Sus scrofa: one gene and its partners. The protein of the gene in region 2 purifies or fractionates together with the protein of the main gene of each other region. This does not show direct contact. Links are inferred from orthologs where the notes say so. Each region holds a gene or a part of one and is shown on either strand. Other genes may lie near its edges.

Region 1 (3,647 bases), on a different chromosome or scaffold from region 2:
AACTTACAATAAAATTGAGAGATGTGGCTGGGATACACAGATAAGAGAAGTTTAAATTAAAGGAAGTTCAGAATGTTCTCAGTGTAGTGAAGAGAAGATCTGGAAACAATACCCAAATTTCTGGGGAAAGGACAATGGATGAGACTTCAAAACAAAACAAATACCTCTCATTTCCAAACAACAATCAGTTTTGTTAATCTTCACTATACTGGAGTAAGCATATCATGTTTTCTAACACATTTTCTGTCACAACATTGGTATTATCAAGCTCAAATAGTTTGTATCTGAATTTTTGGAAGTCAGAACCTGTATCTTCTCCTTCTTATAGAAGTCCTTCTTTGTAATTTCAAGTATATCATATTATAAACAGTAAATAACTGACACTAAGTAATTGAAGATCCTTTAGATTTTAATATCAAAATAATCTCTCCTGTTGAGATGGCAAGTCCTTCCCCAGTATGTATTCTTTGTTTTATTCTCAAAGAGGCCAAGCATGATACTCGAGCTTGAGCAGTGTTCCAGGTGATCTCCAGGAGCCAACTTGGGACTTACACAGCAGCAGCAGATAAGGACAATTGCAAAGGCCTGCAGAACTCCAGCTGTGCCCACCACCCATGTAAGGCGTAGAAACAGGATCACTCCAAAAATATTCTGTAGACATGGGAGGTAGACACCCATGAAGGTACCCATTTGGGGGGTCTAGAAAGAAAGATGTTGATGAAAGAAAAAATCATATAGTCATCATCTAGAAGTGATGCTTTTATCCCTTTATTTTTATATAAAAACTTGCACCCTAACTATGAACTGCATATGAATTGCAAAGTAGAGATAAATTTAAGCACTATCTTTAAACAGGCACATATAAAATCTCCATCTTAACAAATTTCTATCACTATACCCTTTATTATTCCTAGAGACACACATTTTTTTTTTTTTTTTGTCTTTTTGCTATTTCTTGGGCCGCTCCCGAGGCATATGGAGGTTCCAAGGCTAGGGGTCGAATCAAAGCTGTAGCCACTGGCCTACGCCAGAGCCACAGCAATGTGGGATCCGAGCCGTGTCTGCAACCTACACCACAGCTCACGGCAACGCCAGATCGTTAACCCACTGAGCATGGGCAGGGACCGAACCAGCAACCTCATGGTTCCTAGTCAGATTCATTAACCCCTGCGCCACGACGGGAACTCCAGACACACATTTTTATTTTACATAAGTCTCCACATATTTTTACACAGACATTTGATCACAAACTTTTTTTTTTTCTTTTTTTTGGCTGCCCCACTGCATATGGAGTTCCCAGGCCAGGGATCAGATCCAAACTGCAGCTGCAGCAATGCTGGATCCTTGATCCACTGTGCCAGTCCAGGGATCAAGCCTGTGTCCCGGGACTCCCAAGACGCCACTGATCCAACTGTGCCACAAACAAACTTTTAAGTGCATCTTCAATAATTTAAAATTTTTTCTCTTCAAAGCCAATGGCTCTTTCTGTTCTTTTTTTTAAATGGAATAATGACTTGATGGAATTCTGTTAGAATTTGGCATAAATCTTTCATAGCAGGTGGTAAATGTAATTGATAAAAAATGAAGATCTGAGTGTCACTTTACTCCTGAACAACCAGAAAACTAACTTGTAATACTATCCCATATTTTCATGTTGAGAGAAACTGGTATTTGGTCTTAAAAAGCCCAACAACTTCACCATAGAGACATGGCGTCAGTGGATGGATATGGCCAATTTTCTTTTCTCATTTTTTTGTCTGTACCCATAGTATGTGGAAGTCCGTGGGCCAGGGACCAAACCCGTACCACAGCAGTAACAACACTGGATCCTTAACCCACTGCACCAGGAGGCAATGCTGGGTGAGATACTTTTCTTCTGGTGTGATATTCCATCTCCCTGGAACACTGCCCCCCAACTGTTTTACATGGCTCACTACCTCTCGGGCCTGGCACATATCAAGCATTCTTGCACATAGAGTGATGGCCTGGATATCTCCTTTATTATAATATTGGGCTCCTTTTATTTATCTTTGTTATTCTAAGGCCTCACCTTGGTGGCCTTCTTTTTCCCTTCAGTGATGTTCTCTGCCTCTTCATGTTCTTTTGCTCCTTGTGTCAGGTTAGTATAATTGGCCAACCGGTTGAGGAGAGAAGACACTTTTGGCCTGGTGTCCATTTCTTCCTATAAAGCCAGAAATACGAATGAAATACATGATGAAGACACTGTACATAAGCATAAAAATGATCCCTCTACCAGAAAGTTACAAAGTAAATGAGAAAAATTTCATAGGTAAACATTTTAAGAAAATTTATTGATGAGACTGTTTGCCCCACATATTATAATACATAATCAGGGCTACACAAATACTTATGAAACACTTTTTTTTTTTTGGACTACATCCATGGCATATGGAAGTTCCCAGGCCAAGGACTGAAGCCGAGCCACAGCTGCCACCTACCCTGCAGCTCAGGTAACACTGGCCCCTTTAACCCACTGTCCCTGGCCAGGTATCAGACCCATGCCTCCTTGGTGACTTGAGCTGCTGCAGTCAGATCCTTAACCCAATGCACCACAGCAGGAACTCCCTTATAAAATTCTCAAATGAAAAGCTTTATTATTCCTAATAGCTTAACTTTACCATAAAAGCAAAACTACATGGGCTCCTACAGATAGTTGTAGTCCTTATAAAGAACACCGATAACATAATCTTTAAGCACAGTGATACTAACAGTCTACTAATATTTATAGCAATTATTCATGGTACCAAGCATGCACAGATCAAAAGAAAACTTGTGATTGAATCAAATATTCACCTCAGACCTTTTCTTGAAGGCAGATAAAATAACATTTAAAAAATAGGTACACTGAGAAAAGTGGCACTTGAGTCATTGTCCAAAGTAAGACAAAGGCAGTGCTGAACTAAACTAGGCTCCTTTCAACCTGGCCACAGAATATCAGAGTTCATGCTGTCTTAGTCAGATAAGGCATTAGCAAGTCCTCTGAATCCAGCAGCCTGGAGTTCCCATCATGGCTTGGCACTTAATGAACCCGACTACTATCCATGAGAATGTGGGTCTGATCCCTGGCCTTGCTCAGTGGATTAAGAACCCGGTGTTGCTGTGAGCTGCAGCAGACGTGGCTTGGATCCCGCATTGCTGTGGCTATGATGTAGGCCAGTGGCCACAGCTCCAACTGGACCCCTAGCCTGAGAACCTCCATATGCCTCAGGTTCGGCCCTAAAAAGACCAAGGAAAAAAAAAAAAAAATCCAGCAGCCTGCTTCCTACTCTGACTTTGGGTTAGTAAGATAAATGACAGTCATCCCAAACACAGAGTTGAAAAATGCTTTATACTTAGTAGATTTTTCCAATATAAACATTTAAATCCTAGCTGAGTTAGATAACAAAGTTCTCCATATGCCTGTGATGTCAACATTTCTCCTCTTTACTCCATGGAAATTTGATTAAATGATTATCTATTAATCAACAATAATTATATAGATTAAATCAACTACAATGACAAGCTATAATAAGCACTATACTTTAACAGCTAGTTATTAAGGAATCCAACCTACAATGTTTTAAAACTAAATGGGGTGGGAAAACAGCAATCTTGAAATCTCTGTTCTTAAAATCTATGCCCTGTTC
Region 2 (4,379 bases):
CAATCTCTATCAAAATACCAATGGCACTTTTCACAGAACTATAATAAATTATTTCAAAATTTGTATGGAAACACAAAAAACCCTAAATAGCCAAAACAGTCTTGAGAAAGAAGAACAGAGCTGTAGAAATCATACTCCTTGACTTCAGACTATATCTCAAAGTTAGAGTAATCAGAGCAGTATGGTCCTGCCACAGAAACAAACACATAGATCAATGGAACAGAATAGAGAGCCTAGAAATAAACCCATACACTTATGATCAATTAATCTATGACAAAGTAGGCAAAATTACACAATGGAGAAAAGACAATATCTTCTTAAGTGAAACAGTTGTTCTGATTTGGATTCTTGACATTCATTCAAACATTCAACATGCTAGGTCCTTGGGATTCAGTAGTCGAGCCACAACTGCTACTATCATGGAACTCAATATTGTTAATTAAGTTTTAATAACCATGAAACTCATGGTTTTTAATAAACAGTGAAAGAGAGACTCTGGGTAAACAAACCAGGGATCCAGACAGGGAGACATCCCAGGCAAGCCATGTAAGTCAAAAAAAGGGCAACAAATATCCCCTGGAAATCTCTAGAGATGAAGACTGCTTCTCAATTTTCTCTATGTGTAAAACACACACACACGCACCTTGTTCCCAAATATTTGGATTATAATTCCAAATAAATGTTCATTGAACAGACCTAAAAGAATAGACCACGTGGTGGCAGGGCAGTAAGAGGCAGCTTTGTAAAATCTCAACTAACCAGAATACTAGGACGGGGCTGGGGGTGCTTCTAACTCCTGGCATCCACTCCTAGTTGTCACCCACTCATCAGAAACAAATGATCTGGACAGGTCTTCCTCCTGTCCTCCTGGAAATCATTGTCCTGATACACTTCGTTGCCAGAGCAAGGAGTGGCATTGACAGCCCGGTGACTCCAAGGTCCAAGGGAACCAGGGCATCGTCCTGGAGATGGCCGTCCTGACATTCAGAGCCTCGCTGCTCTTTCTCTACTACGTGGCAGCAGGTTTAGGAAAAAATGATCTTTAGGAGCGGTAGGTTTGAGGTAGGTGCGCTCTTTACTGGCGTCTACTCTTTCGCGGGCCACGTCTGCCCGAACACCCGTGACCCCACAGAGGCCCCCAAGAGGAGGGATCTGGCCCTAGGGAGGGGAGGGAGGGCCGGAGATGCACAAGATGACAGTAAAGCCCGTCTGCGCCCACATGGCCCACCACACCCTGGCTCACCCCCTACTCCCTTTCTTTCGCCCTCTCGATGGCTGCGCTGAGTGCATCGGTGTCGCAGGAGGTGGAAGAAGGGACTAGCATCTAGGTTTAAAAGACCAGAAACAAATGTCCCTTGACAATTTCACGTCATTTTCTGGATTCAAAGGAGCGGTAGAGTAGGGAAGACAAACGTAGTGGGGCAACCAGAGAGGGCCCATTTCGGGGGCCTCACGGACTCACTGCGAGGCGGTTCTCTCACGCCCGGGTGACGGTTCCGGGTAGGTGGGTGGGCGGAGGCCCCCCAGCCCCGCAGCGCCGCGAGCCCCGCATGACATCAGAGGCTGGGGAGCGCGCAGAGCGCAGGCGCGGACAGAGGAGAGAGGCGGGAGGGGGAGCCGACTGGTGCGGCTCGGGAGAGCGCTCCTCCGCCCCGCGCGCCTTCCCTGCGCCCCGGCTCCGCCTGCGCCTCGCTGTCCGCGCAGCGCCTCGGGCGTCCAGAGCGCGCCCCTCGCACCGCATCAAGCGCCGCCCGCGGCAGCCCAGCCCCAGCCTTCTTCCTCCTCCTCCTTTTTCTCCTCCTCCTCCTCCTCCGCCGCCGGACACGCAGCCGCAGGCCGGGGCCGGGACGCAGCTGGGGAGACAGGGACGCGCGCAGCCAGCCCTTCCCCCTCCGGCTCCCGCACCGCCGGCCGCCTCCCCTCGCCCTCCTCCTCTCCCCTCCCTGCTCCTTCGCTTCTCCTCCTCTTCCTCTCCTAGCCCAGACTGCCAGCACCATGTCCGCAGGGGGAGATTTTGGGAACCCACTGAGAAAATTCAAGTTGGTGTTCCTAGGGGAGCAGAGCGGTAAGTGCCCTGCTTATTCTCTTGGCTTGGCGCCCAGTCGACCCCCGCCGCCAAATCATCCACCCTACTGGGACCCCGGCCCCGGCTGGGAAAGGGCCCTCCATGCCGGGGTGGAGGCAAGGGATGGGGATGGGGAAGTCCTGGCCGGCTCGGGTGGGGCCGGGCAGAGGAGGGAACTAGGGTAAGGACCGAGGAGGCGCTGGGCCAGAGATGGGGGCGAGGATGGGATCTGAGGTGGGGGCTTGGGGTGCGGATGCAGGTGCGGCGCGGCGGGGAGGCGGGAGGGCGGCGGCTCGCTCGGCGGCGCCGGCCGAGGCGTGAAGGCTCCGGGCTCGCTGGCTCGCTCGCACTGCGGCACCGGCTGCGGGCGACGGCGCAGGTGGCGGGGCGCCGGCGAGGGGCGCGGGGAGGACGGGCGCCCCTCTTTGGAGAACGAGACTGGGCTGGCGTCTGCCCTCTCCCCACCCCGCGGCACCAGAGGGGTTCCCTGAGGCCTTTGCCCTGCAACGGTAATTACGGGCACGTCCAGGCCCGGGGGCAGACCGCTGCAGGGGAAAGACGGATACTGTCTCTTCTGGAAAGAGCGGATGCAGGTGGTGGGGGAACAGGGCGCCTACCTCCCCTGGCTTACGTCCGACTGGGCACAGAAGGTTCTAGACCCGCTGCCCTTCGCCAGTGTGTGTTAGACCCTTTGGGGCTCAGGGATTTGGGCGATGACAGCAAGGGTCCCCAGTGCGAGGCAGATTTGCCGGATGGTAAGGGGGGCGCCTCTCACCTAGAGCTGTGAAGCCCAGTGCCGGGCAAAGAAAGGACCAGACGACACGCCCTGCCTGGCTTCCCAGCACCCCTCCCCAGAGCGTTGGTGGCGGCTCCTTCCCACCCCCACCTCCCAGCTCACCGCCCTTCTTGGGGGAGGGGAGGTCACCGTGGCAGCGGGCCAGGGGCTGGGGGAGGGGGAGACAAACAGCTTCCGTGCTGCCCAGTAGCCTCCCAGGGGAGAGCATCTCTGAAACCCAGGTTAGTCCCAAGGTGGGAAGATCTGATTGAGGAGCCTGGAGCCTCTGACACTTGTAGAAGGAGTGGTTCTTAGAGCATCCCTGCAAAGGCCTTTCACCTGGAGCTGCAGGGAAACAAACTGGGCCCTGACCAGCTCTGCTCTGGGAGAAGCTGTCCTGGGGGCAGAACCCCCAGCTCTACCAGTCGCGTTCACCTGGTTTGATGCCTGTCAGCACAATGGGCCAAGACACACACAACCTTGGGAGGACCTGGTGGGCTCTGGGAACAGCGCTACTGTGATGGGTGAACATGAGGGTTGTTGAGGTCACATGGCAGTCTCCTGCCTGGTGCTGCTCATTACTCGGAATGGAGGGATGATCAGAGAAGGGTGTAAGAAAGTGGTCAAGCTCTGACATGGATTTGGGGGCCAGGCTGGGCATTTCAGAACAATCTCAACTCAACCAGCCAGCTCTGTGTCCTGGACTCTGTGTTTCTGATCTTTACAGTAGATTCCAGTTTCTAACTTTTCTTTGTGTCTAAAGGGATTTGCGGGGAAGGGTGGTCTTCGCATCCAATTTAGTTTTACTGGGCCTGGAGCCCTGGGAGTTGAATTCTTAGCTGTGTTCCCATGAGCGAATTTCCAGGTCTCTCTGAATCTTAGATATGTCTCTGTAAGATGGTTGCCTGAGGGTAGTTCTCTTACCCGTTCATGTTTCCCTAATGCCTCTGGACTGTGGGAGATTCTCAACAAACACTCGTTTATTCCAAGAACATGCTTCAGTTGATGAGAACAATGTCTCTGGTGTGTTTGAAGGAAGAATCCCTGATGGGCTGAGACCCCTTCTGAGCACTACAAACCCCCTTTGCACCTAAAAATCACAGAAATGAGAGCTGAAGGCTTCAGAGCATGAGCCACACCTCCCAGCATGTTTATATGGGATGTTTGACCCCAGGAATGGGCTGTGGACCCAGGGTCCTATGGTGAGTTGTGAAAACTTCAGGGACTGAAACCCCTGTCTCCTGTTCCCAGTCACTAAAATGTCATTGGGAAATAAGGTGACCTTGAATTGAGGAAGCCAAGCTTTGGGGAGCTTTCTGAAGAGGGGTGAGGGTTGTCGTTATCGGGCCAGGCTTGTGGCTGGGCTGGGTGACCTGGTGGGGATGCCAGGCTTGTTGGTTGAGAGCATGGTTTCTGGGCCCTTGAACATGGTCATTAGGGAAAAGGCACTGCTATCAGTGAGACTGGCTATTAGCCACTCTGGTTCCTTCTGGCAGGGAACCCTAGGGTCCTGAAAAGTCTCCTCCCACTTTGTTGTGT
Region 3 (3,647 bases), on a different chromosome or scaffold from region 2:
GGAGCACCTTTTGAGTACCTGTAGGGCCCACTGATGATAGAAGAGTGAACAAGCCAAGTCACCCCCAGTGTGGTCATGAGCCATTCGAGTGAACAGTTACCATGACCTGTTCATGATCACTATGATGGAGGGTATATCAGGTGCTAAGGAGATGCAGGAGGAAGTACCAACTCCACCTAAGGCAACCTGGTGAAGTCAACAGTTAAGTCTCCTGAAGGTTTAACTGAAGAGAAATTTGCCAGGAGTGCAGCAGGAGTCACCCTTCGAGGCAGAGCCCAGCACATGCCCTGGTTCAGAAGCTTTGAGGGACTGATGCTGTCAGGGGCTGAGGCTGACAAAGGTAATGGGGCATGCCTGGTGGCTCAAGCCAAGGCAGAGACCTGCTCTGGCAGTAGAGTGGGCTGGGGTTTGGAAGGATTGACAGACACAAGAAGGCACCACCTAGGTGCCCTGGTGTAACGCCCAGGTTCAAGGGACCAAGGCTGAGGGAACGCAGGTGGATCTGAGGGCAGCTTGAGAGGCAGATTAGACAGGACTCAGTGTCTGCTGGACTGGAATAGGGGCTTGGAGAGAGGGAGGATCAGGAACAACTTCTTGGACTCTGGTTTGGGCGATGCAGGGCTGCTGCATGAGAAGGTGAGGATAAGACAGACCTTACTTTCCAGAAGTTTAACAAAGGAGAGGAAGGGGAGGGTGCGTTGCTGTGGCTGTGGTGTGGCTGATTGGACCCCTAGCCTGGGAACCTCCATATGATGCAGATGCAGTCCTAAAAAGCAAAAAAAAAAAAAAAAAAAAAAAAGGATTAGGTTTTGTACCTTCCCAGTCCTGAGCTGTTTCTTCATGTATCAAAGTCAGCACAGGGAGTTCAGTTGTGGCAGAATGAGTTAAGAATCCAGCATTGTCATTACATTGGCTCTGGTTGCTGCTGTGGTGCAGGTTCAGTCCCCAGCCCAGGAACTTCCACATGTCGCTGGTGTGGCTGGAAAAAAAAAAGTCAACACAGATATCCTGTCACATCCCCACCCCATGCTCCCCAGGACTACACTTGGGATGTCCCTCTCCATCCTGTTCTCTGGTAGAAGGCCCTGGGGGTAGGGGACTGCTGAGTGACTGGGGGCCAACCTTCCATGGGGCCTCTGGGCCCCTCTGACGCTCTGTGTCTCCCCGCTCCCCTCCTCACTCGCTCCATAGGCGCCCAGCATGGGCACCCTCATGGGGGTGTACCTGCCCTGCCTGCAGAATATCTTTGGGGTCATCCTCTTCCTGCGGCTGACCTGGATGGTGGGCACGGCTGGGGTGCTGCAGGCCCTCCTCATTGTGCTCATCTGCTGCTGCTGTGTGAGTATCCCAGCTGGGACAGGGCTGTGGCCACCCCACAGCGCTGGCCCAGCTGAGCTGCTCATCTCTGCTCTCCTTCCCACAGACCTTGCTGACAGCCATCTCCATGAGCGCCATCGCCACCAACGGGGTGGTTCCAGGTGGGTGAGCACCACTCAGGCCTGAGGTGGGGATGGGCCCAGCATCCATCTTGTTATCCCCAGGAACCCTCATCACCCCCCTCAGACAGTGTTTAGTTCTTGACTCCATGACAGTCCCATGACTTAGGAGCATCTTTGCTTAACGGAGTTTGAGATTGCTGTTGTTTTGTTTGTTTGTTTTTTAATATAAAAGTAATTTTTTAAAGAGGGACTTGGGGAGTTCTCTCATGGCACAGAAAGTTAAAGATCTGGCATTGTCACTGCTGTGGTTCGGGTTGATGATGTGGTGCAGGTTGCTGCTGTGGTGTGGGTTATCCCTGGCCTGGGAGCCTCCACGTGCCATAGGCAACAGGGCCCAAGCCAAGGACTCTGGACCACACTCGATTACATGGTAGACAGTTCAGAAGGTTTCGACCCGGGTGATAAGATTGGACTCGGTTTTCAGAGACCCCATTTATTTATTCACTCAACCTTGTATTTATATGAGTATGAACTCCTGAATATTTATTTTATTCTTTCATTCATAATCTAGTACTATCATTTATTTTATTGCTTGAACGGTTCCACTTTGGCTATTTGGCTATTCAAGTTGGCTCCATGTTTGAATACTTTTTCTTTTTTTCAAATTACAGTTTTATTAGTATTAGTATAAAATTATAGGGGGTAAAGGCAGTATATGTTTACCATAAGAGGATTTGAAAGTGCAGAAAAATGCAGAAAAGAAAATTGGAAGTACCCCTAATCCCACCATCCTGTGTTCATAACTTTTAGCCTTTTGGTACATGGTCTTGTCAAGTTCTTGAGACCTATTGTTTTCCCCTGTGTGTGTGTTTCCCAAATACTAAAACAGTTCACTTGATTTTTTATTTTATTTTTGTCTGTGCCCACAGCGTATGGACGTTCCCAGGCCAGGGACTGAACTCACTTCACAGCAGCAACCCAAGCTACAGCAGTGACAATGCCTAATCCTTAACCCACTGTGCCAAAAGAGAATTCTAGAATTTTACTTGATTTTTTAAAACAGGATTGATATTACCTAATTTATGAGATTATTCTACTCTTAGGTTCTATATTTTTACTTTGGTAAACATTATTGTGGTAAACAGCCTTGGATACCAATCTGTGTTCATGCCTCCCTTAGGAGAGGGTCCTAGAGATGGGATTACAACATGAAAGGGGTTAGTGCTTTTTTTTTTTTTTTAATTTTTTAATTTATTTATTTTTTAAAATTTTTATTTTTTTGTCTTTTTTGCTATTTCTTGGGCCACTCCCGCGGCATATGGAGGTTCCCAGGCTGGGGGTCTAATCGGAGCTTTAGCCACTGGCCTACGCCAGAGCCACAGCAACGCTGGATCCGGGCCGCATCTGCAACCTACACCACAGCTCACGGCAATGCCGGATCGTTAACCCACTGAGCAAGGGCAGGGATCGAACCCGCAACCTCATGGTTCCTAGTCAGATTCGTTAACCACTGCGCCACCACGGGAACTCCGGGGTTAGTGCTTTTAAAGCTTCTTGATCCCTGTTCCTAGACTTTTCACTAGAGAAAAGAAGTTTTATCAGAAGTAGATTCAACAAGCAACATGGTATCACTCTTATCCTCTGCACCCACTCTGGCCCCAGGGCCCAGTGTTGATTCACATAGTTGTGCCAGGGGTGTTAGACTCTGATGGAAGCACAGCTTCAGGGCAGGAGGATCAGCGTGGACACTTGTCCAGTAGCCAGCTCTGGGAACAAAAAACTAAACAGGATACAGTCCTTGTCCTGGTCTGGAGGAGTCAGACTAACGGACATAGCCCTTGGGAGGGGTGATGCCTGCTGAGATTGGACACACCCAGCCAGGAGGAGGCTGTGGGGACTGACCTAACTGCAGGTCAGTCAGGGAACTGACTTAACAGGCCAGTTAATCTTTGCTGCCGACCTAGAGCTGCCCCAGCAGAGTAGTCATTTCATTGGCCTGTGCTGAGTGTTGGAGTCAGATGGAAATCAGGTCCAACCCCTGCCTGGTCACTTACTAACCATGCAGCCTTAAGCAAGTTTCTTAACCCTTCTGCTCATCTGTAAACAGGAAAAGCAATCCTTGTCCCTTAGGGCAATTGTAAGAGTTTGTCTTGGAGGAGGCCTCTTTGAAGAAGAACCACTCTTGACCTGTTGTACCTTCTCTTTTGT

The links.
Region 1: the proteins of RAB6B (region 2) and SLC12A6 purify together in Homo sapiens (affinity purification with mass spectrometry; 4 studies listed by BioGRID and IntAct, with this or other methods). This does not show direct contact. The link is inferred for Sus scrofa from reciprocal best matches to the Homo sapiens genes RAB6B and SLC12A6.
Region 3: the proteins of RAB6B (region 2) and SLC12A4 purify together in Homo sapiens (co-immunoprecipitation; 3 studies listed by BioGRID and IntAct, with this or other methods). This does not show direct contact. The link is inferred for Sus scrofa from reciprocal best matches to the Homo sapiens genes RAB6B and SLC12A4.

What each region holds. Positions count from the first base shown.
Region 1 is NC_010449.5:80,237,677-80,241,323, reverse strand, and holds part of SLC12A6 (solute carrier family 12 member 6), read right to left. Parts: intron 2,183-3,647; coding exon 2,051-2,182; intron 700-2,050; coding exon 553-699; intron 1-552.
Region 2 is NC_010455.5:75,072,502-75,076,880, reverse strand, and holds the start of RAB6B (ras-related protein Rab-6B), read left to right. Parts: upstream 1-1,556; 5' UTR 1,557-1,995; coding exon 1,996-2,065; intron 2,066-4,379. UniProt on the Homo sapiens protein: The small GTPases Rab are key regulators of intracellular membrane trafficking, from the formation of transport vesicles to their fusion with membranes. Rabs cycle between active GTP-bound and inactive GDP-bound states.
Region 3 is NC_010448.4:28,562,901-28,566,547, reverse strand, and holds part of SLC12A4 (solute carrier family 12 member 4), read left to right. Parts: intron 1-1,191; coding exon 1,192-1,338; intron 1,339-1,423; coding exon 1,424-1,478; intron 1,479-3,647. UniProt on the Homo sapiens protein: Mediates electroneutral potassium-chloride cotransport when activated by cell swelling. May contribute to cell volume homeostasis in single cells. May be involved in the regulation of basolateral Cl(-) exit in NaCl absorbing epithelia.